Coturnix japonica: one gene and its partners. The protein of the gene in region 4 binds, or shares a complex with, the protein of the main gene of each other region. Links are inferred from orthologs where the notes say so. Each region holds a gene or a part of one and is shown on either strand. Other genes may lie near its edges.

The links.
Region 1: the proteins of TUBGCP6 (region 4) and TUBGCP3 are in contact, whole or in part, in a cryo-EM structure (PDB 6X0U), measured with the Homo sapiens proteins. The link is inferred for Coturnix japonica from reciprocal best matches to the Homo sapiens genes TUBGCP6 and TUBGCP3. Residues at the interface, in NP_065194.3 of Homo sapiens: Pro65, Arg67, Asn68, Leu71, Met72, Ser74, Phe75, Asp76, Arg78, Asp87, Glu90, Asp151; in NP_006313.1 of Homo sapiens: Pro9, Asn10, Val11, Leu13, Gln14, Glu25, Ala26, Ala29, Gln30, Phe32, Gln33, Val36, Arg37, Ile39, Gly40, Ser41, Phe43, Thr129.
Region 2: the proteins of TUBGCP6 (region 4) and MZT1 are in contact, whole or in part, in a crystal structure (PDB 6M33), measured with the Homo sapiens proteins. The link is inferred for Coturnix japonica from reciprocal best matches to the Homo sapiens genes TUBGCP6 and MZT1. Residues at the interface, in NP_065194.3 of Homo sapiens: Met1, Ala2, Ile4, Leu7, Phe8, Asp10, Leu11, Cys12, Ala14, Leu15, Pro17, Ala33, Leu37, Val40, Ala41, Ala44, Leu45, Asn48, Ile70, Leu73, Lys85, Arg88, Leu89, Leu92, Val93, Glu95, Leu96, Leu104, Leu105, Ser109; in NP_001065243.1 of Homo sapiens: Asn17, Ala20, Val21, Thr24, Val27, Leu28, Glu30, Ile31, Ser32, Ile34, Leu35, Asn36, Thr37, Leu39, Glu42, Thr43, Leu44, Ile46, Cys47, Arg49, Leu50, Cys51, Glu52, Gln53, Ile55, Asn56, Pro57, Glu58, Ala59, Leu60.
Region 3: the proteins of TUBGCP6 (region 4) and TUBGCP5 are in contact, whole or in part, in a cryo-EM structure (PDB 7QJE), measured with the Homo sapiens proteins. The link is inferred for Coturnix japonica from reciprocal best matches to the Homo sapiens genes TUBGCP6 and TUBGCP5. Residues at the interface, in NP_065194.3 of Homo sapiens: Glu290, Ala291, Ser292, Lys293, Arg294, Arg295, Cys296, Trp297, Glu298, Arg299, Val300, Gly301, Cys302, Pro303, Pro304, His306, Arg307, Glu308, Glu309, Pro310, Tyr311, Leu312, Glu314, Lys322, Arg325, Leu326; in NP_443135.3 of Homo sapiens: Asp211, Asp212, Arg213, Trp215, Leu216, His219, Val220, Val221, His222, Trp225, Ser230, Phe232, Pro233, His234, Leu238, His239, Ser240, Asn241, Leu242, Leu264, Val265, Thr266, Glu267, Thr268, Gln269, Arg272, Val302, Thr303, His304, Leu305.
Region 5: the proteins of TUBGCP6 (region 4) and TUBGCP4 are in contact, whole or in part, in a cryo-EM structure (PDB 7QJE), measured with the Homo sapiens proteins. The link is inferred for Coturnix japonica from reciprocal best matches to the Homo sapiens genes TUBGCP6 and TUBGCP4. Residues at the interface, in NP_065194.3 of Homo sapiens: Leu312, Thr313, Ala315, Gly316, Arg317, Ala319, Phe320, Phe323, Leu326, His327, Glu349, Pro390, Glu391, Ser392, Ser395, Leu396, Glu399, Tyr403, Ser455, Leu456, Leu457, Thr458, Gly460, Phe461, Lys464, Lys465, Arg468, Arg471, Tyr472, Glu475; in NP_001273343.1 of Homo sapiens: Met1, Ile2, His3, Glu4, Leu6, Leu7, Ser10, Gly11, Tyr12, Pro13, Gly14, Ser15, Ile16, Gln29, Phe31, Pro32, Phe33, Leu34, His35, Pro36, Glu38, Thr56, Ile59, Glu60, Thr63, Val66, Gln67, Gln68, Ile84, Arg87.
Region 6: TUBGCP6 (region 4) and NME7 share a complex: the UniProt entries of both Homo sapiens proteins name them as parts of the gamma-tubulin ring complex. The link is inferred for Coturnix japonica from reciprocal best matches to the Homo sapiens genes TUBGCP6 and NME7.

The regions. Positions count from the first base shown.
Region 1 is NC_029516.1:124,270,784-124,275,139, forward strand, and holds part of TUBGCP3 (gamma-tubulin complex component 3), read left to right. Parts: intron 1-228; coding exon 229-418; intron 419-1,618; coding exon 1,619-1,754; intron 1,755-2,544; coding exon 2,545-2,613; intron 2,614-3,810; coding exon 3,811-3,946; intron 3,947-4,356. UniProt on the Homo sapiens protein: Component of the gamma-tubulin ring complex (gTuRC) which mediates microtubule nucleation.
Region 2 is NC_029516.1:140,208,637-140,213,493, forward strand, and holds the start of MZT1 (mitotic-spindle organizing protein 1), read left to right. Parts: upstream 1-1,555; 5' UTR 1,556-1,656; coding exon 1,657-1,705; intron 1,706-1,883; coding exon 1,884-2,029; intron 2,030-3,060; coding exon 3,061-3,084; 3' UTR 3,085-4,857. Other genes in the region: BORA (protein aurora borealis), read right to left, coding at 1-19, 717-872. UniProt on the Homo sapiens protein: Required for the recruitment and the assembly of the gamma-tubulin ring complex (gTuRC) at the centrosome.
Region 3 is NC_029516.1:117,432,022-117,437,177, reverse strand, and holds the start of TUBGCP5 (gamma-tubulin complex component 5), read right to left. Parts: upstream 3,189-5,156; coding exon 2,863-3,188; intron 1-2,862. Other genes in the region: CHST7 (carbohydrate sulfotransferase 7), read left to right, coding at 3,187-4,584. UniProt on the Homo sapiens protein: Component of the gamma-tubulin ring complex (gTuRC) which mediates microtubule nucleation.
Region 4 is NC_029516.1:18,133,020-18,137,375, reverse strand, and holds part of TUBGCP6 (gamma-tubulin complex component 6), read left to right. Parts: intron 1-935; coding exon 936-1,099; intron 1,100-1,664; coding exon 1,665-1,875; intron 1,876-2,356; coding exon 2,357-2,530; intron 2,531-3,600; coding exon 3,601-3,722; intron 3,723-4,044; coding exon 4,045-4,120; intron 4,121-4,356. UniProt on the Homo sapiens protein: Component of the gamma-tubulin ring complex (gTuRC) which mediates microtubule nucleation.
Region 5 is NC_029525.1:18,427,319-18,432,434, forward strand, and holds the start of TUBGCP4 (gamma-tubulin complex component 4), read right to left. Parts: upstream 3,047-5,116; 5' UTR 2,990-3,046; coding exon 2,912-2,989; intron 2,842-2,911; coding exon 2,713-2,841; intron 2,251-2,712; coding exon 2,128-2,250; intron 1,661-2,127; coding exon 1,607-1,660; intron 1,181-1,606; coding exon 1,124-1,180; intron 613-1,123; coding exon 533-612; intron 101-532; coding exon 1-100. UniProt on the Homo sapiens protein: Component of the gamma-tubulin ring complex (gTuRC) which mediates microtubule nucleation.
Region 6 is NC_029516.1:74,983,329-74,987,684, reverse strand, and holds part of NME7 (nucleoside diphosphate kinase 7), read right to left. Parts: intron 2,039-4,356; coding exon 1,988-2,038; intron 1,458-1,987; coding exon 1,250-1,457; intron 1-1,249. UniProt on the Homo sapiens protein: Possesses an intrinsic kinase activity. Displays 3'-5' exonuclease activity with a preference for single-stranded DNA. Does not seem to have nucleoside diphosphate kinase activity.

The DNA of each region.
Region 1 (4,356 bases), about 110 Mb from region 4:
TTTCTGTGTAGGAGTGACAACGTAACATGAACTCAGAAGTACATGTTAAAAATAATGTTGTTGAAGTATGAGCTGCTTTAGACTTGCTTTCACTTTGGCTATACCTAATGCATAATACAGTAGATCAAAGTAAATAGTAATTCCTCTGCATGTACATTTCAGTTTCAAAGCTTGTTTGCCTCATTTTTTGGAAAAATACAAATTTAATTCTAACTTATTGTTTTTTAGCTGCTGATTTGTTCACGGATCTAGAAAATGCATTCCAAGAGAAAATTGATGCGGCTTATTTTGAGACCAGCAAATACTTACTGGATGTTCTCAATAAGAAGTACAACTTACTGGAACATATGCAGGCCATGAGGCGTTACTTACTACTCGGTCAGGGAGACTTTATCAGACATTTAATGGATTTGCTCAAGTAAGAATAAGAAGGGTAATTATGGTGAATTTCTGATGCTCCCAAGTATGCATGATCAGTACTACTTTGCTGTCAGAAGATGGCGCTTTAATTATTACTCAAAGTTTTACCTGAACAACTTTGAAATCCTATTTTGACTTGAGTTTCCTTGACCGCGAGGGCTGAAATGTTGTTCTTTTTGGTAGGAAGTATATTCTATATTATTTCATAATGACTTGAAAAACTATATTAGTGTACCTTTACATCAAGCCTGTGAGAGGCTCAGAGATGTTTGTACTTTGCTTGTTCCTGTCAGCAAGTTTAAGTAGCAAAGTTCAGTTTCTGGAGCTCTTGACACCTCTAGTGAGTATTGCTCTGAGCATTAGTCTTCTATGTTTTGGATGCGTTTGGTCCAAAGCATCCTTAGTTCCTTTCTATTTTATTTAATTGATGCCTCACCAATCTCTGTTTTAAGCATTCAAGCATACCTTGAAGTTTAAGTTCATAAAGTGTTTTTGCAAGCTGGCTGCTTTTTCATGCTGGTGTTACTAATGAAACTTAGTCTACCAGAAATGTCCTTAACAAAGCTTTCCTTTGTTCTGAAAGGCAGGCTTTCTAATAAAGCTTCCATCAACTTCTTTGTACATAACCTTGCTTTTTTAAGTGGAAAATAGTGTGAAGCAGAACAACATTGGTGCATGGGAGTCAGTATAACGTTTGAGGCAGGAGTAGAGAGGGACTTTCCAGCACTGGTCACGAGGGAGAGGATTGCAAAGCTTGCATGTTGCTGTCCTTGGAAGGTTTCACAGGGGGAGTGGGTTTACATGTTTCTGTCAGCAGTTCTAAGCCCATGAGATGCCTATCAGTACGTGTATCAAAACTGTGAAACAGAATTAATGTTCTGACATGTTGATGAGTCAATCTGCCTATGCAGCTGAGTTTTCAGAACTGTTGTTATAGCAGTGCTAGTAACTTGAAACGACTGGCATTGAATCAGGATAATCTTACTCCTCATGCTGGTGTTCAGGTGTATAGCTGCACACATACAAACAGTTATAAATATTCTGTTGATTGATTTTCTTTGTGGTTAACATTGAAAGAGTAACATAAGAGGTTTCGAATTTTCAGGAAACTATTTCACTGCATTCTGCAGTTAGAACCAGTTGCTGCTACAGAATATCTAAGAAGTCTGCCATGGCTTTTCTGTTTCTTAACTTTCAGACCTGAGCTTGCACGACCAGCCACAACCTTGTACCAGCATAACCTAACAGGAATTCTTGAAACAGCAGTGAGGGCAACTAATGCACAGTTCGATAATCCTGAGATTCTCAAACGATTGGATGTACGACTTCTGGAGGTTTGTTGCACCATGGTGACTCTGACCTGAAACATAAGTGAATGAAAATACATTTAGTGTTTGTGTATACAGACATCTATGTAAAATAAAATTTTGATAAACACATATAGTAAATATTATTGTCCTCCCCTTTTTCCATTGAAGCCCACTTTGAAATATGTGAACCTCACTTGAGCCTTCTCTTCCCATCTCCTGCCCATTGTCTGTTTATATTTTGAATTGTGATTGCACAGCCATTTCACTGGCAAAATAAGGTCAAGTACTTGATGTAGATGGCCCTGATTTGGGGTTCTGCAAGCAGGTCTTGGAGTGGTCTTCTTTCTCACCAGTAGTCACTGGTGGTGAGGAAGAGTGGAGAAATGAAATTGCATCTCATGAAGGAGACCTCTACTAAGAAACTTGAGTTGATGAGGAAGTTCCAGCCAGAACTGGAGACAGTTCCCAGTGGTGGGAACTGTCTGAACTCAGGCAACTGAAGCAAGCCTGTTCGTTAGGCAAAGTCCTGCCTGAGAAGTCTCCCCTTCATTTATTTTACTAGTTTCAATGGAAAAAAAACCACTGGCAGCATGAACATCAGCAACTGGGTGAGGTGAATCCCACCATTGTGTAAAACATAAGTTAATTTTTGCTTAATCTACTACTCTTGACAATGAACTCCTATGTCATGTATTGTGGTCACTTGCTTTTTCATATTAGCTTTTCATATTTCATCATAAGAGAAGAAGAAGCAGCTCTTCTGCACTAGCATTCTCTGATTAGGCACTAAAGTTTACACATCTTTTCAATACAGGTATCTCCTGGGGACACTGGATGGGATGTCTTCAGTTTGGACTATCATGTTGACGGACCAATAGCAACGGTAATGTCATATACTGCTGGTTGTGAACATGTCTCAGATGCTGAGCTGGATTGCTAAACATTTTGTTATTGAAATAACCTTTTTACTCTGGAGTGTTTTATATCAGAAAGACTCCTATTTTTTTTATTTTTTTATTTTTTTTTTTCCCCTCAGCATCAGGGATGTATCCACTGTATAAACATCTGAGCCAAAACCTCAGTTCTTATAAATTAACAGGGAGTGCTGAAAAACCACGTTCAAAACATTAGTTACTGAAAATCAGTAGTTTATTTGTTCTAGCAGAGATTTTGACGGGTACTTAATAAATGGAGTGCTGCTCCTCTTAGACTATTGTTATGAGTCTGTAGCAGCTACTTTGAGGTAATTTGCCAGGAACTGGAGAATGTATCTGAGGAGAACTTATTTGTACTTACTAAATTAAATTTGATAGATAGTGTTCACAAGAACTACTGAGGAAATAATTCTCTTGATACAATCAGCAGCAGTATTGATCAGAATGCATTTAGTCTCTGTAAAAATGTTGTAACACTGAAATGTGAATGAACTGTTACATACATATGGAGTTTGAAGAGCAATCTTTGTCGTATTCACCCTTTCTTACACTTCTGTGCACATGAGATTGAAAGTGAAGAAAACCTCTCAAGAAGCAATTACAGGTTCAAGTTTTTTCAGTTGCCAATCTGGTAGAACAACAAATACATTTGTACAAGGAATTGGAACTGGCAAAAGCATTAGAGCAGTTCTAAGAATTACTTATGTTTATTTCAGTGTACTTAAATAGAAGACTCTTTTATGCAGAACAGATAAATTTTAATGCATTTCTGCTCCATTTTCCTTCAGTCTTCTTAAGAATGCAGTGTGGCAATACTGATAATGCAGGAATCTTTTTTGTGTTAAACTAGAATAAGCTTAAATGCAACAGTGCTGTAAGAAGACACAGCTGAAGTGTACTGTGGACCATACTCCAGAGTACTCAAACATAGAGTGCTGCAGCTCTGCTGTCAGCAGTGCTTGGTGCTTGAATGCTGGATAGCTCAGCTCAGTCCTTGAGGGAACATTTTCCTAAGAGCTGTTTTTGTTCTGCTGATGTTTAACAATAAACTGCGTGGGTCAGAGTAGATGAACTGTGAAGATGCTATTGGTTCTTCAGAACACGTGAGATCTATTGTTTGTACTGATATTTTGTTTGTTTTGTAGGTGTTTACACGTGAGTGCATGAGCCACTATTTAAGAGTATTTAATTTCCTTTGGAGAGCGAAGCGAATGGAGTACATTCTTACCGATATATGGAAAGGACACATGTGCAATGCAAAGCTTTTGAAAAGTATGCCAGGTGAGAGGTCTAAATGGATGAAATACTCGTAAACTGGGTTTAGATTACTGTAACTGATTTTAAAATGGACAAAAAATCAGTTGTGACAAGTGAAGTTTATATTTTCTTGCTGGTTTTGACTGATTGTTTAATGGTAGATAGTGAAGATGAAGTAGTTTTATTGTGTATGGAATTTTCCTGCTTGTTTAACCTAATCCTTGATTACAAGTTTTTGTAGCAATGAGGAAATGAAAAAAACCATGTCTCTGGAAAGTGACCGTTACTCTTTCATCTCCTTTTATTCATCTTCCTTGATGACTTTCCATATGTACCCTCTATTTCCTTTTGTCTTGTGCTGGGAGTACTAAGTCTTCCACATGCACACTTCCAAATTTACTAGTTTTACCATTATCTGTTTCTTTTTCTTTTGT
Region 2 (4,857 bases), about 120 Mb from region 4:
ACCTAAATTTTCCTGGTGTCTGAAAAAAAAAGAAATAGTCACGTGAATACTTGCTGGTCTGATAATGTTTTTTTAAAAAAGGCAACTAATTCAGACTTTTTTTTTTGTCTTGATGGTGGAATTAAAATTAATTATGAGATAATATTAAGCAAAAGAGTACTACAAACAATTAATAACTGAAGTGTCATGTTATTCCCCCTCCATTTCTGAGAACAGGCCTACTACAGATCTGAAACATGGGATTAAGTTTAGTTGCTTCTCCATGGCCACAATGAAAACTGTGGCTCCCTGAAAGCACTTCAATAATCATCCAAGCCAGGATATCGAAATAATACAGCAACCTTCCTTTTACTTTACATTTCAAAGGAGACAGAGGACAGTCTAGAAGCAGGCCACAAAGGGCACTGTCAGGCATAGATCATAAGATCCAGTTTGGGAACAAAGCAGTCTCATCCATTGAAGTAGCACTTCAGTACAAAATAGTGAGCAAGTAGCACTTAGAAAAACGATCTAACAAAACACTGTCTTTTTAATCTCATTATCAAGGTGCGAAGACCAAATTACAGCGTTAGCATTAAAAGAAGCTTACTGAGGTAAATGAAAGAACCACAAAACACCCCAAGTTCTTTGGGTTTGCATACATTAAATCAAGTAAATACACTGTGTTACGTGTTTTTATGTGTCGGCACTACATAGAACAGAAAATGAGCTCTTACAGATGAAGATTTTGTTGATTTGAAGACGGAAGGACTGGAGACAATCTGCTCCTGAAGGGTGCAATAATCGCTGGGGCTTTCGAAAGGATTCAGAACTGTGACCCGCCCAGGAGTTTCGGGGCTGATCTGCATTTGGGCTTCTTCTGTATCGCCCATAGCAGTGAAGCTGTGCCTGGGGAAGAGAAACAGAAGGAAATGTGAGGGGAGGAAATTACCATTCTGACTCGTTAGGGTCATTCTAAGAATTTCAACCCATGACCGGTCATTCAGAAGAGACAGAAAACTCATAACGGCAAAGCAGATTTTGGCTTGGACCAGTGAGAAGCAGATAAACGAGGCTGGTACAAAGACGGAGCCTAGAAAGCAAAGCCAAAGGAAACGAGGTACTGGAAACCAGCATGGAGGAAACCAATCGCGTTCGTGCCAGGTGCTCCCGTACCGAACGGCGGGGCCTCAGAGGAGTTGTCAGCCCCACAGCGAGGCGGCTCCCCGCTCCTCACAGGCCGAGGAACGCACACAGCGAGCAGCAGAGGCCTAAAGCCACGTATTCACGGGACAGCTGTACCAAGGGCCGCCACCACGCCACCACCCCCCCACTCCTCAGGCCCAGCTACCGAAGCCCCGCTGCCGCGACGCGCACTCATACCCGACTCCAATTAAAACTGCCCGCCTCCGCCGAGCCGGGCGGCTCTTTAACCACCTCCCGCCCCTTCCCGAATTCTGCCCAATCAACGCGCGCCGCAGCCGCCGGCGAACCAATCGTAGGCTCCCCTCCGCTCACGAACGGGCCAATCGCATGCAGAGCCGCTGCACAAATTCGAACGTTAGCCCGCCCCCCACCTTCCTGCTGTGAGCGGGAGGTTCCGCTTGGGCCTGGTGCGGAGTCCCGGAATCACGTGAGGTTGGGGTCGCTCCTTCTGCTTCCGGGTGGGCGGTCGCCATGGCGAGCAATGCCGCCAGCCTCAACGCCGTGAGGGAGACGATGGACGGTACGAGGGAGGGGCGGGAGGGGCCAGTGGGGTTGGGGATGCGGCACTTGTTTGTAGATACATTGGTTTGCTTGAGGTTCCATAACTGCCACTTCCATGCTGTACAGTAGAAATTCAGCTTTGATTAATAACTTCTTTGATCGCTGTTGGGGCTAATTTGCTTTCTTTTTCCTTGCAGTTCTGTTTGAGATTTCAAGAATATTAAATACTGGGTTGGATATGGAGACCTTGTCTATTTGTGTGCGGCTTTGTGAGCAAGGCATCAACCCAGAAGCACTGTCTTCTGTCATTAAAGAACTGCGTAAGGCTACAGAAGCTCTAAAGGTAATGCCATTCCCTAAAAAGCACACGGTTTTAAAAGAATCAAATCTTTGGTTCAATTTGCTGTGCTTCTTTTCCTTTAAAATTAAGAAAAAAATCAACAAAACAGATTTCTCTTCTTGGTGCTTTCAGCCACTATTTCCCTTTATCTGCTTCATGTCCTGACTGGACTGTAGCTTTCTTCTTCAGCCCATATCAGCTCCTTATACACCCTCAGGCCTCATAGTATGTATCACAGAATTATCAAGGTTGGAAAAAGACCTAGAAGATCATCCAGTCCAACCATTACCAATACTTCCCAGCTAAATCATATTCATCAACACAACATCCAAATGTTTCTTGAACACTCCCATGGTTGGTGACTCCACCACCTCCCTGGCAGTGCATTCCAATGCCTGACTACCCTTTCTGTAGCAACACTTGTGAACAAGTTCATGAAGCTGTTGTGGCTAACAGTCTCCACACATTGCTGTCACCTCATTAACCTGTGCTTTACGTCTCTCCAAAGACAAATCACAGCATTTCATGGTGTGTGTGCATTGTAAGTACTAAAGTATAAAAAGCCACATGTAACTATTTGGTTAATAGGGAAAATAACTATAGTTAAAAAATTCTCATTTGCCCTTTAAAGGATTTTGATGCTTTGCTGTCTACCTAACCATCATGATTCCTTCTCCACTACATCTTATGTTGTTTATTTATCTGTTTTTGAAGGCTATGTTCTGATTCTTAAAGAACTCAGCTTTCAGATTTTACAATCAGACTTTTTTTTTGCATAATTTAAATTTTTATTTTATTTTTTTATAATTTCAAACTCTTCTATACTTGTGTGTATTTTTTATTTGTGTATGTGCTTAAATGTGTGTACACAAGCTTAATTGTGCATATACATTGTTGAGGGATGTTCTATTTCTTTTCTATTTTTTATGTCTTACTTGTGTTGCTTTCATTTCTCTTTTTATCTCATATCTGGGCTTCAAATCTACAACATAAATGATGTCTGCTTTTGGTGACAAATTTTTTTTTTTCCCTAGGCTGCTGAAAATATGACAAGCTGATGTGATAGAATCCTTCTTCATGAGAAGAGTTCGAAGTTGTAGAGCTGATAAAGAATTTGAACATTGGCTGCTACTTAGAAATACGAAGTCAAATTATATCTGGAGGTTTCAGAGTATCTCTAAGTCATCTTGAAAAAGGCAATGTATGGAAGAGCTTAAAGTTGGGTTTTCTTAAATAGGCCCACCAGTAATCTTACCACACTTGAATACTTGGTTATTTTTATGAACCAGGGGTGAATTTTAGTGTAACTGCCCTTCAGCATGTAGGATTTTTAAACAGTGTCAGAGATTGAAGGTTTGCTGAAATTACTAGTGTGTAACAGTGAATGTTATCACGAATATGGCTTGTTAACGCATTCTTTAGAAGTGCTATTGTGTTCTGTTTATTCCTGTTGTACTAGTGTGAAAATATGTGGATGCTTTTATCTGTGGTAAAGGTAGGAAAGAAGTCCCTATTGAGCTGATTTTAATTAGAGTACAGATGATGACTTAAATGACTTAAGTCATGTTCTGAAAGTAAGAAATAAAGCACTTTTGATTATCAAGATAATGACTTGTCCTTCTAATTCTGTTGGAAAAAGAGTTTTTAACTTGTTTTAGAAAGGAATTTGGATGTATGTAAATTTGACATGTAGATAACGTGGAATATCAAATGCTGTTTGCGTATGTTCTGAACACTCAACCTGAAAATATTAAGCATATATTGTTAATTACTAGTCAAAGCATCTTACAAGTAGGGGCTGATTTAGTTGTGTTAAACAGTCACTTGGTGTAGGGGAGTCTTCTCCTTCAGCACAAACAATATCCACTGATGCAAAAACAAATCTTTCTAGTGTATGCATTAAGCTACTGAACAAATTATCATTCAGTGAATCTTTTGCATCCAGGAGTTATGCTTCTTCATAGGAAGAAAATTTTCTTGTGTTTGTCCTCTGCTGCTGTTTTAGCTTTTCCAATTTTTTGTTAGACTGTTTTCTAAGTAGTGGTGTTAATAGAACCCAAAGCAGGCTGACAGGGGAAGCACACGTAATAAAGATTCAAGGTTCATCTTTTGTGCGGACGGAAAAGTTCTTTTGAGTTTACATCACACATTACTCTATCTGGGTCACAGCTTTAGAAAACATGATAAATATCTTTTATTTCCTATTACTCTGGCCAAGAAATCACTCCAGAAAGGTGTAGAATCTGTGTTAAAACTTCTGAATACTGTGTGTAATGTTTTCAAAAGTATTAAAGAATCTACTGTATGGAAAGATTGACAATAAATGTATCCTAGAAAAATGTGAGAAATCAGCAAAGACTGAAAATGTTAAAATACTTAAAACAAATAAGCAGTTGGTTATTTCACGTTTAACTGGACTCAGTGCTGCATGTCAAAACCAGAAAAGTATTCTTGCAGTGTTGACAGGTTGTCATTTGTTTCTGAAGAGAATTGCGGAACTAAAATTTAAACAGCAAATGTATCCTCAATGCTTCTGAAATTAGAGTGCTTGTGCATTGGCAGTGTATTTTTCAGTTCCCAGATGTTTAGGTAATATAGTAATTCTGATGGCTTCCCTTGCCACTCCTATTCATCACTTTACTGCTGAAAATACACAAATGTTTCTAACTTCTGTTACATTTATTGTGGTTTCAGTGTTGATTTTATGTCCCTGAAATGTTTATAATCAGCTTGCAAATGCAATATGAGTGCAGTGCTGCCTAGGTAAGTTGTGCTTGCCATTTTAGCATTGATGAACTTGGTTTTTACGCACTTAAGCCTTTTTCCAGGAC
Region 3 (5,156 bases), about 99 Mb from region 4:
CAAATGCCTGATATATGTTATACTCCGTCCATGCAAGTGTTGAGTTACAAAGCACAGAAGACCTACACGTTTTTTGTAGCAGTAGCTGTCAGAGGAATTTTTTGGGGAAAAAAAAATAAATCCCCTGTTAAAAATAGTCTCAATTTTTTGCTTGACTGAACTGTACAAGATTTGGTTCCCTAATTATACAGACACAATGGTTTAACTCAAGCTGCAAAAACTTGCTGTTATTCTTCATCAGCATCTCTAATTCAGCAACAGCGTGTCTGCAACACTGAGAGAAAACAGAAAGAGATTTCTGGTTTCTGCCATTATCAATTATGGTATCAGATCCATTTTAGTGCTGAGACCCCAAACACGTTCCTCCTTTGACTTTCCTGTTGAACCTCCACCAATACACATCTTACTTTGTTTTGCCTTCTGCCTCCTGCATTTCCTTGTTGTATTTCCTAGTATTTGTTGTATTTCCATCTCCTATCACTTTCAGTGAGGACATTATCTTCCTTCCTTTCTTACAGGAAGTAAGAGGAGCTCACAAGATTGTTGATGTCAGAAAAGGAATCATCATTTTTCTTTTTTAAAAGCTCTCTTTATAACTCTACTGGTTCTCCGCCATACTGTAGCCCTTTGCTACAGTCTCTTCACCTTTCCACTGCCCCTTTTCTCTCACTTTCCACTTTCAGTATCTCTTCTAGTTCTCCACCCAGTCTCCCCAACGCCCTGCAGTATTTCAGGCCTCCCGCAGGCTCTGCCTCTATTCTGCTTTAGGGAAATTCCGCTACTGCAGCAAACCAAGTGCTTACCCACCTGGTTCTATGGCACCAGGCATCCTGCTACTCTCAACGCACTCCTTCCTAACTGTGACCTATTAGGACCGGTCCTGTATGCAAAGCACGTACTGCCTCACGTGTTGAAACCCCCGATGACTAAGAACCTCCAAAAAAGTGAAAAACAGTTACACAAAACAAAAGTTGTCCGAGCTTGTTGGCTGCTTTAAGCTTTGAAAGCCGTCATTAACCACGGGCTTCCTTTTGGCTGAAGTCTGTAATGACAGTGTTTGCAAGCACGGTGTTCATTAGCAGCCAGGATGTGTGAGGCCAATGCTCCTCTTGCAAAGCACGTTTAATTTTATCAGATAATCAAGCCTATTTTTGATCACAAAGTGCTCTTTGAAAATGACAAGAGCAGGCACGATCCAAAAAATGAACAGATACAGAGGGAACTAGTTCTATTTTAAAACCTCTGCTGAGATGATAAAAATGATTCTGGGGCTGAAGCACTGCGTTCCAACATTTACAGGCTTTCTTGTCAGCTGAAAGAGCTGTGGGAGATGGAAGAGCAAAAATCAAGTTAGAGAGATAATACACAGGAAGCCGATGCTATATCAGGTTAAAAACAGCCAGTGCTTTCAGCGACAAACTTGGAAACCAGAATGGAAATATTGCTACACTAAACTATGCAGAACGTGTCGATTTTGTCCCTCTTTTTCTTTATAAGATAGCATGAAACAGAGAATTTGCACCAAGAAATGGCAGAAGTCAGATGCCAGCCAGGCTGCTTCGTGTATGAACAAAGAATGTCTGCCTTTCTCACACACCGAGTTATCATGCTCTTGGAAGAAAATGAAGATCATCTATTTAAATAGTGTCTTTATGAATCACAGGGGGAAAAAAAAGGTTAATGGGGGAAGATCGCCTCCCTTTAAACACCATTTAAAAAGCCCAAAGCCACAGTGAACCTAAATAGGGAAATATATGTTGGGGCAGAATTTCCCTTCAGATTTTTGTACATTATTCTGTTCTGGAACCCAGGAGTCGAGTTGTCTCCATCTCCTCACTCAGCACACCATAAACTGCAGGAAGCCGAGTCTTAAACACTCGTTTTGCAGAGGTCAAAGAGAGTGTTAGCAGGCAGGCGGCTGGCTCCCCACATGGGCAGGGCAGACACATGCTTTTTCTTCTGCATCACTTTGTATCCCTCTTATGTTACCCAATATATCTGAAGTAAGGAGGGCCACTAAGGTGAACAGAGGGCTGGAGCATCACTCCTATGAAGAAAGGTTGAGGGAAATGGATTTGTTTAGCTTGGAGAAGAGAAGGCTCCAGAGAGACCTCATTGTGGCCTTCCAGTACTTGAAGGAAGCATTTAAACAGGAGGGGGAACGGCTGTTAATGAGGGTGGATAGTGATAATACAAGGGGGAATGGTTTTAAACTGAGACAGGGCAGGTTTGGGTTAGATATTAGGAGGAAGTTTAACATAGGGGCACTGATGCACTGGAACAGGCTGCCCAAGGAGGCTGTGGATGCCCCATCCCTGGAGGCATTCAAGGCCAGGCTGGATGTGGCTCTGGGCAGCCTGGTCTGCTGGTTGGTGACCCTGCATGGGAACACGGGATTGGGATCCACCTGTGAGCACCTGCAGGTGTGCTGTGCATTTTGATACCGAGCGTTGGAATTTAAGCACTCCAAACACAGAACTGCAGGGGTTGGAAAGGAGAACATCTCTGGAGATCAGCTGCTCCAACCCCCAGCTGCATGCACGAAGTCAACCTTTCATTGACTCCCATCTCGGATGAAGAGATGTATTTAATCTGCTCTTAGAAGCCTAAAAGACGCGACACCCTGAGCATGAGGAGGTAGAACCGTGTCCCCAGGTAGTTAAGCAGAGGAGGGGGACAGATAGGCAGGGGGGTTGGAACTACATGATCCTTGAGGTCCCTTCCAACCCGGGTCATTCTGTGATTCTGTGATTCTGAAACCCACAGCAGCCTGGAATAGCTGCCGTTTACTCAGTGCCGCCTCTAAACAGCCATTCTCACTCTTCCCATCGCTGCGGCTCGTTCTCTCTCCGGACAGCTCACGGAGCCCGCAGTTCCCAGCCCGCCCCCTCGGCTCCGGCCGACACTCCCCCTGTGCTGGGCGGGCGTTGGGGTGGAGAAGCAGCAACGCGGAGTCTCCCGTCGGCTCGGCACAGCCCCGAGGTCGGGGCAGCGTGTCGGCGGGGGCAGGTGCGGCGGTTCCACGCTGCGCCGTGAGGCGGCGGCCGTGTCCGGGCTGCCCGTGGGCGTGCTCCCTGCGGGAGGGCCGCCCCGAGCCCACCCCCCCGCCGCCCAGCGTTCGTTCGCCTCCTTCCCCGAGAGCCGGTTCGGCGGCTGCCGCTCGCTGTCGGGCCGCTGCCCCCCGCCATGAAGGGCCGTCGGCGGTGGTGCTGGCGGGGGGAGCACCGGCGCTTGGCGCTGCTGCTGGCGCTCTACACGCTGCTGCTGCTGCTGCTGGTGCCCTACGTGCTGGACTACGGAGCCAGGCGGGCGAGAGCGGACGAGGAGCCGCTGCTGCGGCGCTGCCCCAGCCTGGAGGAGGCGCTGAGCGAGTGGGGCTGGGAGCAGCGCCCGCCGCCGCCCGGAGACGACGAGGAGGAGGAGGAGGAGGCGACGGCGGCGGGGAACGGCAGCGGGGCGGGCAAGCGGCACATCTACCTGCATGCCACATGGCGCACGGGCTCGTCGTTCCTGGGGGAGCTGTTCAACCAGCACCCCGACGTCTTCTACCTCTACGAGCCCATGTGGCACCTGTGGCAGGCGCTGTACCCCGGAGACGCGCTGAGCCTGCAGGGCGCCCTGCGCGACATGCTGCGCTCCCTCTTCCGCTGCGACTTCTCCGTGCTGCGCCTCTACGCCGCCCCGGCCGCCCCCCGCGACCCGCTGGGCGCCGCTCCGCCCGCCGCCAACCTGACCACGGCCGGCATCTTCGGCTGGCGGACCAACAAGGTCATCTGCTCGGCTCCGCTCTGCCCCGCCGCGCCGCTGCCCCGCCGGGAGATCGGCCTGGTGGACGGCGCCGCCTGCGAGAGGCGCTGCCCGCCGCGGGCGCTGCGGGAGCTGGAGGCCGAGTGCCGCAAGTACCCGGTGGTGGTCATCAAGGACGTGCGGCTGCTGGAGCTGGGCGCGCTGCTGCCGCTGCTGCGGGAGCCCGGCCTCAACCTGCGCGTGGTGCAGCTCTTCCGCGACCCCCGCGCCGTCCACAACTCTCGCCTGAAGGCCAAGCAGGCGCTGCTCCGCGAGAGCATCCAGGTGCTGCGCAGCCGGCACCGCGCCGCCGAGCCCCGCGGGCCGCCCCGCCCGCAGCAGCCCCCGCTCCCGCCCGGCCTGGGGCTGCTGGGCGCCGGGCGGGCCCCCGCGCAGCACCGCGCCGAGCTGTTCCTCGGCGGAGCGCTGGAGGTGATCTGCCAGGCGTGGCTCCGAGACCTGCTGCTGGCCCGCCGCAACCCCGCCGCCCTGCGCCGCCGCTACACGCAGCTCCGCTACGAGGACCTGGTGCGGGAGCCCCGAGCTCAGCTGCGCCGCCTGCTGCGCTTCGCCGGCCTGCCCGTGCCGCCCGCCATGGAGGCGTTCGTAGTCAACATGACCCGAGGTGCCGCCTACTCCTCCGAGCGACCTTTCCTCATCTCCGCCCGCGACGCTCGGGAGGCCGTGCACGCATGGAGGGAAAGGCTGAGCCGCCAGCAGGTGCGGCAGGTGGAGGCGGCGTGCGGCGAGGCCATGAGCCTGCTCGCCTATCCGCTCAGTGCCGGGGAGAGGCGGTAGGGGATGGATGGGGACCGTACGGCAGCGAGGGGCGAAGAGAGCGCCGAGATGTGAGCACCTGATCTGAAGGGGCGTTAAGGATGGACGCCAAGCGTTGAGGGAACAGCAGGGATGCTCTTCTAGGAGTTCTGAGGTGTTTCGTAGGGACACCTTCGTCGTCCTTGTGGGACGGCATCAAGCTCCAAGGCCTAATGGACGTGAAACTGATGTACCAGCAGTTGTAAGTACTTAAAACTTGTATCACTGATAAAAACAGAGACTGCAGGCATCACCCCTACCGGAGCATCAAACACATCTGGTTCTGTTGTATCACTCTTACAACGCGTGAAGGAAGCATCTGTGGGAGCTCCCTGTGGGATCTGGCTGCCCACGCTGTGCCCATGGCCTGGTTGCCCTCCAGCTGTGGGACAGGCACTGCCTGCACCTCCCTCAGCCCCCACCTGCAGCCCTGCCCTCAGAACACTACGTGAGCATCTGTCTGCTTCTGTGTCTTGAGGACATCAGTTCCAGAAAGTCTGCACTTTCCTGAAGTAGACTGTAATATTTTTTTAAAGCAAAGTGTTCTGATACAT
Region 4 (4,356 bases):
GTATCTTGAGCCATTTTTTTCAACTATTATATTTCATCAAACCTCCTGTGTCCTGCTGTCCTTTTACCTTTGCAGTGTAGTTTATACTGCATCTTCTACTGTCCAATATATTCATTTTTGCTACATAGTATTCTTATAGAGGTACTAGATAAATGCACCTGTGGTTTTTTTTCTTTCTATCTTTCCATTTGTTACTGTTGGAAAGTTTTTTACTCCCTTTTTTTTTACTCCTCCTCTGTTCTCTCTACTTACCATACGGATACCTCTTGCAATTCCTTAACTCAGCGTCCTAACTGAAACTGGCGTTCAGACATTAAAAAAGCCCTGTGCGTGTACAGATGTAAGTCTTAACTGTGAGGAGGCAAATGTTCCTTGCTAGGTGCTGTACTCTCCATCAGACTGGGATTTGAGATTTGTTGAAGAACATGCTGTGTTTTTTGTGTGGATATCATAATCTTATTAAGCCTGGGTGCCGTTCTTCATGTACAACTCCTGAGATCAGAGTGTGGCACACGCAGTGCCTGGACACTTACGGGTTTTCTGCATCTGAATAAGCATCAGAGAACAAAGTGTTAACAACATTTGTACAAATTGTAAGAGTTATCATTAATAATCTGCTTAAAAGACTTTCTGAGCAGTGCCATTTTATTCTTCTTAGAACTGCATGCATACAGAGGAGTAAGTTTCAGTTTTAACATTAAGAAACTTAGTGTTATTATTTCAGCGGTGATTGATTGTTGTTTTATATTTAGGCATTGGTGCCTTTGAAAATGGAACAAGTGAAGGAACATTTAAAGGAGAAACTTAGAGATGAAAGGAGTGGGCACTGGCTGAGTCGTATTGAGTCACTTGATCACAAATAATAGCAAAATCTTTATCAGCATATGTTTCTCTAGTAATGTTTTCATACGTAAAGCTTGAACTCTCTCTGACAGGTTCCTCAAAGCATAGACCAGTCAGAAGATGAAGGATTCCAGTCGGCATCCAATCTGACTCCTGATTCTCAGTCAGAGCCAAGCATGACTCCAGACATAGATCTGTGGGATGCAGTGCTTACATATGGGCCAAGCAAAAGAAGATGCTGGGAAAGAATTGGATAGTATGTATCTGATGTTATTGGCAAACTTCCTGTGCTTCACATGTGAATGTATGAAGGTGCAATTCATCTTAGTTCTGAATGACCTCAGTATAGGAGTTAAATATGCAATAGGAATATGCAGTATTCCTATTTAATGCATATTTAATATGTAGAATTCAATATATGTATTAATGATTGAGATCATGCCATTTCAGCGAACCAGCCTTTAGATTGCATCTGTTTCATGGGAAGAAAAAATTATCTTAGACCTAAAAACTGAAGGAGTTATGGCAACACTTTCTGATCATGTGAAATGCAACATTGCATACACAATGCAATTTATTTCAACCTAACATGATTTCATCTTTTCAGATTCAGAAGAGAAATTGCTAGAAGAATTAAACCCTTAAAAGTCAAATGCAGACCATATACCTGAAGCTTTCCTGTAAGAAATACTGCTAGAACTGTGAAGAGTTTGGAAGAGTTGGATGGGAAATTTGTTTTGGAGGGGATGGTAATCCCTGCTAGGAAGCGGTAGATCTATTTCTCACATAATCACCTTCCAATATTTTGTTTACTCTGGCAGCCCACCTGGTAAGAAGGAGGAGCCGTACCTTACTGAGGCTGGGAGAGAAGCTTTTGACAAGTTCTACAAGCTCCGAGAGGGGGAAATGCAGCTTTTCAGTAGTACCGTACTTCAGCTTCCACAGCTTGTGCTGATGAGGGAACCTGAACTGGTGAAGGATGTCTTGAATGTCCTCATTGGTGTGGTATCCACTACATTTTCACTCAACCAGGTATGAAATGTATTTAACTGCAATTCTCAGTTGCATTTGCTTTTTCTTTTTTTTCTTAGATACCTCCTTTTCAATACATGATTTATTTTGAGATCTCACAGTTGTGTTAAGAGGATAAGTGTGACTTAATTGCGATAACGTCACATCTGTACATTGTAATAACGACTTATAGGCAGGGAACAAGTATTTGTCAAAATAATTAGCAAAAATGAGCTAATTACAGAAAACAGAAGTTTGAATAATGTTGTAGGCTGGGTTTTCATGAAAAATTGTTATAATTAATCTTTTTTGACATACTTGAAAATGCACTTTTGAAGTTTTGCTACAATTTAATACTCTTATTATATTTTCCTACATATATAGTATGATTTACCAGAGTACCTATGCTGAAGATTTGTCTCTAAACGTTTGCTGTTTTAAATCAGAATGCAGCTGGGTAATATTTGAAGCCTATTTGCTTTCCTCTCCTGTTTCATTTTAGGCTGCTCAAACATTTATAATAAAGGAGGGGGTTTATGTGTCTGGAACTTCGCCGGAGACGATGCACAACCTGCTCTCAGAAGTTGCGGAATATGGAACCTACTACACACGGCTGAGTCGCTTCTCCCTTCAGCCAGTCTTAGATTCTTCGTACAGCAAAGGGCTTGTGTTTCAGGTAGCACCATTGTGTCAAATCACTTACGTTTGATGGGCCAGTTATTTTAGGCAGAGAACACAACTTTGATTTCATATAAGGCTGGAATTTCTTCCTTCTGCAGAACTGCGAAGTATTTTCAATACAAATATGTGTATTTATGTATCCTGGGTCAGCAAGGGACAGTGACACCGTGGAGCCCTGTTTAAATTGGAGCTGTGGTTGCTTAGGGTTTGTCTGCCCCAAAGCAACAAATGAAAGCTCTTCATTACTTGAACTGTGATTTGTTGTGTGGTTTTGTTGAGATCTAAAGGGGCAGAATTTAGAAGCATTTATATGTTAAAATGTATAACATTTATATATATATAACATGTATATATAAAATATAATACCTTTCTTAATACGGTATGCATATAAATAACATTGCATACATTACATTGATACTAAAATAGAGAAACATGCTATTTAATAGCTTTAATAACTTTTCTTAGATCAGAATTAAGCGCACATTTTACTTGTCAACCCTCTTTATATTTTTCTGAACTGTGTGTAGCTGCATGATACCAGGTACATTTCTCTTTCTAATGCATATAGTTCTTTTAGGATTAGTTATGAAAATATATGCCTCCTGAATATTTCATTTACAGTTACGTCAATAGAAATTGAACAGAAAAGTCTTATTTAATTCTAAGTCATGCTGGAAAAAGTAGATGTTTTTATAGGAGCTTTTTCCACTGCATAATTTAGGAATGGAAGTAAGGAAACAGGTTTCCCTGGGTTCATAATGAAGCTGCTAGAAAATCAGAATGCCTTCAAAAGGGCAGTTCAAGGAAGGTGAACCAAAATGCTCATTGTGTGCCTGGGTGCAGGCTTTGTGCATAGCATGTAGGAAGAGTATAAAGGAGTCATTTGGTTAATTGTATGCCTGAAGTTATGTGGACTCTTACTTTCCTACACGAGCCCCTCTTACTTTTACATGCAGATTATTTTATTAAAGGCTCATTTTCATGCCGGTTCAACTGATGTGAGATATAAGTAACTATTAACAGCTTTACCAGTAAGGCTTTGTAAATATTTTCTGTTGACAATAGGCTTTCACAAGTGGTCTGAGGAAGTATCTTCAGTATTACCGAGCCTGTGTTTTGTCTACTCCTCCTACTTTAAGTCTTCTGACCATCAGCTTTCTCTTCAGGAAACTGGGCCGTCAGTTGAGGTAAGAGAATAACATTAAATATTTAAGCTTTCCATAAAACACAAACTACAGTCTGTTTTTTTCCTTTACAAAACAGGAGAGTATTAGGCAGCCATTCTTACATAATTTTTCGGTATTCTTCCAGCAATTTCACATCAAGATTTCTTTATGTTCCCTTGGAAAAACATGTAAAGTCTTTACATTCAGTTACTTCGTTATCCTTGTTGCTATTCAGATAATACCGTAGGGTTGTGTGAATTTCAGCTATAGCAAAGTCCAGTTCACTGTGATTTCAGAGACTTCTGTCTGAAATTCTTACATATGATTTAATACTGTTTTTTAGATATCTGGCTGAACTCTGTGGCATAGGAACAACAGCCCTGGGGATCAGTGGCGGAGCTGGTGCTTCATTTCCTACGGTGATAACAGATTTTCTGTTTTAAGTTTTTCAGTTACAATTACAGTATTTCTCAAAAATAGACAGGATCATACGTGATTTATTGAGTCTGTACCGGAAATATGACCTCAGACCTCTAAGGTGCATTTCATCTCATTGTAAAGGAGATGTCTGTAGCAAATGAAATTAATCCAACTCTCCAGTGATTATAAAGTGAGAATGAGATACTAGAAACTTAGAGTCATAGAATGGTGTGGT
Region 5 (5,116 bases), on a different chromosome or scaffold from region 4:
CTGTTTGATAAAGAACTCTTCATGTTGGTCTAGTAGCAATCCATGCAGCATCCAGGCAGAGAGCTGCTTATACATGACTCCATGACACACAGCCAGAATCCTGAAATCAAAAGAAACAGACAGTGGGTCCATCGCACACAGTAATCAAAACCTCATTGTACATCATTCTGGAAACTCCAGCTCATCAGACAGGCAATGTGATACTTACATTACATCGATACACAGTGAAATTTATTTTATTTTCTAAAGGATGAATAAAAACAACAATGTCTGCTGTATCCAAGACATTTTGTTTAGACTTCAGCCCTAAAAGATGCCCTAGTGGGATCCTCAAAAGTACAAAATATGGAGAAAGCTTTACTTCCTGCCATGAATCTGTTTTAGATAAATAAAGGAGACTGTGACAGTTTGCCCTTTTAAATCATGCAGGTCTGATTCGAGCAGCATCATCTGCTTTCACAAGTAAGAAAACACTCCGATACTACTGTCAGGTGTTAAGTACAAACAAAATAGTTTTGTTGCATCTACCTACTTTTCAAGAGCACTGCGAACAGGAGGCAACCCCCCACAGCTATGTTTGTGGACAGTTTCTAGTATCTGACATCCATGAATCTACAGAAAGAAAAAGTGGTTAGACTAGGACTGTTGCTTGGATCTGTACTGACCTTTTCAAGGATTTAAATGCTACATTTTCAGCTAACAAGAACCGCAGAAGTCTGATAGAAAAAGATTAAACATACTCTGCGTAGTGTAGAAAGAAGTCTTCTATGTAAGCGTCTCTCAAAAGCTTCCCTAGATGAAAACTAAACCTCCAAGGACTTTGGAAACATTAGCTACTCCTTTTCCTTTTTTAATTCAAGAATAGAAGAAAATAGAATCAGAAAAGAAGAAATTCCAACTAGCAGCATCTTGTAGTTTGAAGCATGTTGTGATTACAAAATGCATCTTGCTAATAATGAGGAAATAGTCAAACTGAGTGTAAAGAGATCTGTAAAGCATTCAATACTTACACTAACTGAAACCAGATTCTTTCCTAGCATTCAGTTCTGGGATAAAGGCACAAAATACTTTATCAGCTATAGAGGAAACTTGCTAAGAGAGACTAGCTAAAATTTTACCATACCTTCTGAGTTTTGATCTGTTCCACCACAACCATCACAGATGGGAAGAGTAACTGAAACTGCAGCACAAGGGAGAGAACTGTTACTCTTAAGTAAGTGTGGACAACAGGTAATTACAGTAGTTTAAGCAAGCTGTTAGTATGCTTTCCACTCTAGCTGGAAACTAGTCAGTGACCTGAAAAATCACTGGAAACAATGTCCATCCTCACCTGGACCAAGGGTTATTCAAACACTGTATTCCAGCTGCAGTTCAGAATAAACAGAAGTTGAGAGAACTATGCCAGGGTAAAGGAGGAGGACCCATGTGTTGTGTCAAAGTGCAAGTGACCCTCTAAGTATGATTACAGGACTATAAATTTGGAGATGTTGAGGAGAAATGACGTAAGATGAAAGACTAAACCTTGTTTACACCATTCACATTCTCATTAGATGTGTTACAAAATGATAAGAGTAACCATTAGCATGAACAGGTTCATCAGCATTACCTGGTCCAAGGAATAATTAACATGTGAGATGGAAAGATGTGGGTCAGCCAGAAACTGTAAGGACAACAAAGCAATTAATGAAAATTAGAAAATGGCATAGATAAGTAAAAAGGCAAGTTTGGCTCTATGTTTCGTATCACGCTATGTCCCATATGTAACTTTTAATGAAACCACTGGATGATGACAGTACCTAAGACAGAACATCTGCTAAGTCCCGAGGACTTTATCAGAACCTCTGCAACTGAAAACTGAAGTCATGGTAGTGAGAAACAGCACCAGGCTGAGGCTGATGGGGCACTTATTGAATTGTATGTGGAAGGGAATGACAGCTTATTAAATAAACAGTCATTTACAATAGCATCTCACAGGAGTAATTTGAAAGCCATTCCCAAAGTGGAAAGGAAACTATCTTGTTGTCTCTTTAACTACTACCACTTATCAGTACAGTAACGGCAGAAATGACAAGCTTCCACAATGTGCCAGCGGCAAACAGCCTCTTGCCCTAAGTCTCTCTCCTTTACCTCTTGTTCCAGGTCAAGCAGTGCCTGTCGATACGGCTGCAGCACTGAATCTAGGCCTGTGCAGAATGCTCGCAAATAAATGCCATGCAATCCACTCTGGTTTTGCTGAGATAGGTGATGGTCCTGAAACAGAACAATAAAAGCAGGCCCTCAGCACAGGTCTGATGAGTAATGGAGCTTCCTGCAACACTACATCAGCAGCCAATGGTCACAACGCTCTGAAATGCACCTTCAACAACCATAAAACGACCAAGAAAACAAAACGAACGGAGCTGTTTAGCTCTTCTGTGGATGATTGCAGGAGTCAGGAACGGTCAGCAGCCTGTGCGTGCTGCAGCACTGCTGTGTTTATGAACGAATGCCTCCTGAGTCCCTGGGCACTTCACCATCTCCTGCTGAACCGCGGGGACCAGAAATTACCACATGACGTTCCCTTCCCCTAGGAATGAGATTTCCGCACTCCATCATGTCTTTCAACACAGGCAGTTGTGCACCCTCGCTCATTTACACCACACAGAACCTGACAGATCCCTGCTCAGGACAGTGAGTTTGTGCTGGCGCAGCGCTGCACCGACAGTGCCCGACCTGCTGCTGGACGTGTCCCGTGTACTGCTCCACGAATTCGACGAAGCGGATGTAGTCGGTACCGAGGCGGCAGAGGCGGTTCAGGACGCTGGTCTCGCTGGGGTGCAGGAAAGGCAATTCCTGAGACACCTGCGAGAAAAGGGAGCGGTGAAGGAGCGAAGAAGCGAAAGGCGAGAAGAGGGGAGCGGAGGGGCCGCACCTGCAGCCCGCCGCGCTTGCTCCAGGTGAAGACCGCGCCCGGGAACCCGCTGAGCGCCAGCAGCAGCTCGTGGATCATCGCGCCGCCGGGCAGCGCCGCGCAGCGCAACGGCCGCCGGGAAGGGCGCGCCTGCGCGATGCCCCGCGAGCGGCGGGGGCGGCTCTGCAGCCGGCGGGAATCGGGTGCGCGAGGCCGCCGAGCGGGGCGGGTCTCAGCGGGCGCAGCAGAGAGAGGGGTTATGGGAGAGCGGGGCTGGGGGAGAGCGGGGCTGGGGGAGAGCGGGGCTGGGGGAGAGCGGGGCTATGGGAGAGAGGGGCTATGGGAGAGAGGGGCTATGGGAGAGCGGGGCTATGGGAGAGCGGGGCTATGGGAGAGCGGGCCTATGGGAGAGCGGGCCTATGGGAGAGCGGGGCTATGGGAGAGAGGGGTTATGGGCGAGCGGGGCTGGGGGAGAGCGGGGCGGGTCTCAGCGGGGCTGGGGCAGGACGGGCCCAGAACAGCCCTGAGGAGCCGCCAGCCGGGCCCTCGAGTGGGTGGGAGCGGACGGCGGGGCTCGGCCCGATTCCATCCTTCCCCTGCTGGTGCTCTTATTTGTGTAAATGTCTATATAATGTATTTAACCTGTCGGAGACATTTTGAATGTAAACGTACCGGTCTTTTGTAACCAAAATGAAGCTTTTAGTGGCATTCCTTCACACACAAAGGTGAGGGTTCCAGGTGCCTTCCTTTCCACCAGGGCAGGATGTGGAGTTTGTGAAGCAGAAGGAGCAGCTGTTTGTCAGCGCTGCAGGTGGGAGGAGGCTGATGTTTGGGAAAGCAAAGTCACCCAAATGTTGGCAGTGAATCAAACCCACTTAAATAGCGACGTGCTGTTGGAATTCCTTGTTGGTGAGTGTTACCCATCTGTTGGATGGTGTTAGGTAAGATACTGTAGCTCTGAGTGGTGAGATTGCTTGTTTGCCTCCAAAGAGTAAGTGCTCACCTGCTGTTCTGGCAGCCTGTGGCTCTGCCGTGCACAGGTTGTGACTGTAACGGGACCGGTCAGGATTTGGGCTCCTCCTTTTCTGTTGCTTCTTCTCAGGTTTTCATGGAGAGTCCTGCAGACAGCGTGCACACAGCTCGGTGTCCCAGGCAGCTGTTGGATATAGAAATATGTTTTGCAACTATATGTGTATGCAATAATTGCGTTTATATATATTTATATAAAAGTGTTTACATATATTACTTGTGTATGTGTGTGTAGAATATATGGACTTATTCAACCAGGGTAATTCCATCTCAATTTCTACAGGGCATCAAGGGCCTATAGAATAGAATGTAGTGAAAGACAGCAAAATTGAATAGGGAACTAAACCCTGTTGCTGACACAGCGGATAAGGCTTAAACATCTTGGATAAATGAGTTCCGTAACTCTTCCTATTTAGTTCTGACTAAATGGGAAAATGTGTTTTTCCTCAGGGTTGTTATGTGTATTCTTAATAAACCCAGGTTAACTGCATCAAGGCCCGGGCACCTCGTGTGCTGCTGTTCAGCTGAGAGCACTGGGCAGCAGAGAATACACAGGAGGAGAAGATCCCTTCTGCTCAGCAGTGCTCCTGAGCATTCAGCTCCTGAGCATTCAGCTTCCTTTGACCAGCATCTGAATTTGTGTGATTCTATCTGGTTTAACACTGCTGAGTTTTAATGTTTCCTTAATTTTTACCTCCCTATTTATTATGTTATGAATAGACATGAAGAAATCTTTTCTTCAGTCTCGTTTTCTCCCCTTTTTTCTCTGGGTACCTCTTTTGTCAGCTGTGAAGTCATAATGTAAGTAGCTCCTCTTCACGTGAAAATCATTCAGTAGTTCTGATCGATACCGCTGCGTTTTGGTGTACTTACATATCTATCAATCTCTATATACATACATATTTTAGAGGAGAAATGTACTCAGGTTTGTGTATTTGCAAGGTGCACAGCGATCTGTCCATCTGCTTAGTAAAGCTGGTCTTTGTAATAATGATACGTTTCCATCTTTCAATCCTTTGGTGCTGAGCCTGTGTATTCTCAAAGCCTTATCTGCATACGACTTTGTATTATGCCAGCTTTCCTTTTCTCTGAATAATGGCCGGTCGGTTTGACGTTCTGTGTTAACTGTAACACTCTGAACGTTCTCCAGGCTTGGATGCACAGCAAAGGCTGGACGGGGTCGGGCGGTGACGTTGT
Region 6 (4,356 bases), about 57 Mb from region 4:
ACCAGAGATGGGTATTGGTAACACCACAAGGATGCCTACATCTGCCAAAGTTCAGCAATATAATAATGTTGGTCATAAAAATACCACAGATGAGCAGAGCCTTCAAACTGCTGAAATGTAAAAAGAGCTACCAACTTAAACCAAAGCAAATAATTAAATTTATAGTCAGAATCTTACGTTAATAGATACTGTCTCCTACACTCTCAGGCAAAAAGCTGGCACAACAGTAACTGCAGCACACAAACGAAGAGAAACCTCCCCATTTGAGCACAAAGACATTGGTCAACTGCCAGAATTAAAGACTTTTCTGACTGAAATTCTCCTTTATAAAAATTCAACTTTATCCAAACTCTTTCTAGATAGGTACCACTTCCACTAGACTTGCCACCACAAGAAGTATTCCATGTCTGGAAAGTAACTTATTAAAACTACAGTCAAGCAGAGAAGCCCGTAGACCAGGTACCACTCAGACACCTGAGCATGGTGCTTAAACAATGCCCAGGCCTCACAGTGCTGAGCAAGGACACAGCAGCTGCAGCAAGGGGCTGACTCTACCCTGATTGCTAGCACATCGTCGTCTAGTACACAGTAGCTGGTAGTTTATAAGTTATCCCAGAACTGGTCTCTTTCAAGCTGTGCTACTGCAGCTGTTCCAGTGTAAGAAGAGGAAAAGACTGGGATCCAGAAGGCAACAGTTATCTTTTCCCTGCTAGTCTAAAGCTAAGATAATACAGTGCAGTACCAAACAACTGTTAGGTAAACTTTATTCTAGCCATTGCTTATCAGCAGATCTACCCCCATCAGTGAACATAAACACCTCTGTTCTATAGAAATGCTGGTAATATTTAATCACCCAGCCCTAGGGCTTTCTTAACACTCTAAGAAAATACAGACTACAAAGTAAAAGAGAACTCCTAGAAGCCAGGCCTGCTGTATTACCTTTCAGAACACAAAGCAATACAAAATGGTCTGCCTTCATAAATATTTGTTATGCATAATGGGAGCAGAGTTTTTCGAAGACTAGGCATGTTCTCCTGATCAAAGTATCCAAAACTTCCGTTTATGACAAAGATAAACAAGATTCCTGTTTCCAGACAGTCTATTTTTGCAGGCTAAAAAGGAGCAACATAGAATACCTATTCATTCTGAACTCAAACGGGAAAAAAAGAAATGAGGAATTCCTGATCTAGTAGTGTTATCGAATTAAATTAATAAGAAAACTAGTTAAGTGACACAGTCAAAAACTTACTCGAGCGGCTGAGGCTACTGAATCTGGGCCATGAGCTGCATTTTTTAGGCCATCATGTCCGAAGTTTGCTCTGATGCTTTCCGGTTCATCAGTTCGAGCAACTGCAGAATTTGCAGGCCCCAATAATGTCTTCCACTTACAAATTGCATCATCCCGTAAGATTTCCATAGCAACAACAGGACCACTTGTTATAAACTGGAGAAGCTCACTGCAAAATGGAAACAGCATATGGTGATCCAGGCTGTAAATTAAAGCCAACGAAAATATGCAATCCAGTAGAGATGTTCAAAACTCAACTCAGCAAAGCCTATGAACAACCTAACCTAACTTTGTAGGCTCTGCTCTGAGGACAACTTTTGTTCTCATTGATTTGAAATGATTTATAATTGTTTCTAAATTTGAGAAGAATCCTATATAGAAGATGTAGTGAATAACACTCTAGAAGGAAAGACCAAGCAGGCATGGACAAAAGCTTAAGGTCCCACAGATAACTACAAGTTGTGTAGACAGACATCTGTGAAATAACAGCACAGGCAAAACTCTTGCTTGCAAATCAACATATTCAAACATAATTATTCAGCAAAGAAAATGGAGTTCTAGATCTCCTGATCTCCATCATGGTCAGACATAGCCTGTACTTATGTCTCACTGAAGGGCTTGAGTTTGGACCCACAATAAATCAGTTGCTGTTGCAGAACAATAAATATATGCATCAAGTTAAAAAAACAATGTACCTACTTATAAAAAGGTCTTGATTGATGGTCTACGTAGAAATCAGCTGCTTCTTTTCTGGAAGAGTAAACAGACACAGCTTTATATATGCACAGGCATTTATATGTGCATATATATATACACGCACACTCGCACGTATATATAAACCCTGAGAACCACAAACTATCATTCATCAACATTTTTCTACACATAATGCCTTCCCAAGTTGGAAAATGTATGGGGCATTCATACCCAGTAAAAGAATTCATACCCATACACTGCTCCAGAAGTAATGCCTCCTATTTATTTCAACAGAAACTGCAATAGATACAAAGAGTACAATAACATTATTTGATAGTATTTGTACCTGAGAATCTTCTCTGCTTTTTAACAGTTACTTCCACTAGCTGTGCATTTTCACCAGTGATAAACCAGACCCTGCATGCCACTCCCATCCAAAACTGCACCAGTGGAAGTGACCCACTATTGTTGTCACCAGTGTTGAAATGTAACCACCTGCCATCTTACTTGGCCCACATCTGCTGTTTGGTTCCCAGAAACACTCAGTAAGCATCAGTGAATGTCTCTGGGTGCTATTTTTTCCTGCATGGAGGAATTCAATATGACACACCTTTGCTTCATCTGCATTCCCATGTCAGATGCCACTTTGTCAGACTGCCCCTCTTCTGCCATCTGCCACGTGGAAACAGCATGTGAGGGAATACTGCTGTGAAGGTTCAGCCTCCACCACCATCTCACACAATATCACAGGAGGCATTACTTTTGGAGCAGCACTCTTACATTTAACTTTGTCATACTGAGCATGGTCAGAGGTATAATCGACTCCTCTTCACAGTCCTGATCTGGGAAGGAAGTTATCACTGCAACCTGTAACTAAGATTTTCAAGGTCACTGATGGGCTCCACATTCTCAGGTTGGGAAACAAACAGCAGAAACAGCCACTTGACAAGCTGTTCACTGTTACATTGCTTTGATCTTGCAGTTCAGCTTGAGTGTGTATGTTGGGTAACGAAATCTGGTTTTAAAGCATAAATAAACAATTTATCTGCTTCATTGAAACTTATTTCCTTATTGGAGCTAGTGTTTGATGACAGTTAACAACAGCATATTGCATAATCTGGTTTCTACTCAGTATCCACAAATGTTACAATTCAAATAGGCAGCACAACCCCTCTAGATTAAAACATGCTTTCTCATACTCTTTTCCCTTTGATAACTGAGTATTGTCATGCACTTCCCTCAGGGAGAACTCCAGTTACTAGCATTGCCTTCTCTCATAGCAAGGGATTTCCATAATGAGGAGGGCTCTGTATCTTGTCAGGTAAACAAAGGCCAGCAAGCACACAAAGTATCCATACTGCAGCTGTTATTTAGTCACAGTACCTAAGTACAGAGACAGCACAGCTGATGCTGCAGGCTAAATGCCAGAATATTCATCATTAACACAGGATGATGGCCCTCTCCAAGCTTTACATCGCCACAGCCATGCTGCTAGTTAGTGCTCAGTTTCAGGGTCTGCAGTACAGGCCCACGTTCCATCCACCTGTGAAACATCACTTTGGCTTTTCACCTTCCCACTTCCTGTGCTAGACAGCCCACTCTCCTCCCTCCTTTTTCTCAAACCACACCTCGTGCAAACTCTTGCTGCCTTCACTGTTTTTTTCTACATGAAAACAGCTAGAAGAATCTATGAGAGTTTTCAAGTTTAGCTGTTATCTTCCAACTGCAACTTCAAAATTCCAGTTCAGAAGTGCAGGTTTGGTCTTGGCTTGCTCCAAATCCTTGTGCGTAGCATATTCTGATGCTGTAATTTGAGGAGAAGGATAAGCTCTTCAGATGGACAGGCAGCTGAAAGCAAGTAATACTGCTGACCTCCCAGTCCGCGTACAAAGCTCATAATCAAAGCAGAGATGCACAGAGACTTAAAGATTCCCATTTGGAAACAATCTCCTGAAATTTAATGGTCTCCATGATTTTGCTCACTTCAAGCAGCTCCCCTTTCTGAAAGAAATTACCTCAATATATTTCAAGTAACAGGCTGCAAGTCTGAGCCAAGTCGCAGTAACTGTCATCTGTAATGCAACTTTTCACATCTCTTTTTCTTCATTTGTAGTCCAGACTTAAGCCTGATATTGCCAGAGGCAAGAAATAACCTCAAGGAGAACTTGAAGATAATTTAATTTTGCTGACATTGACAAAGACTTTAACAGTCACAAATTTCTTCTCTGGGGACTCAAAACAGCTACCTGCCCATTGGAACTGAACAGTTCCTGGTTGGCTGCTTCAAAAATAATGCTAGTCACAGGAATACCTGCACTCTCCACCTTCAAGCGAGTTTTTGCTTACAATTCACTATTTCAACCAGAACATACACT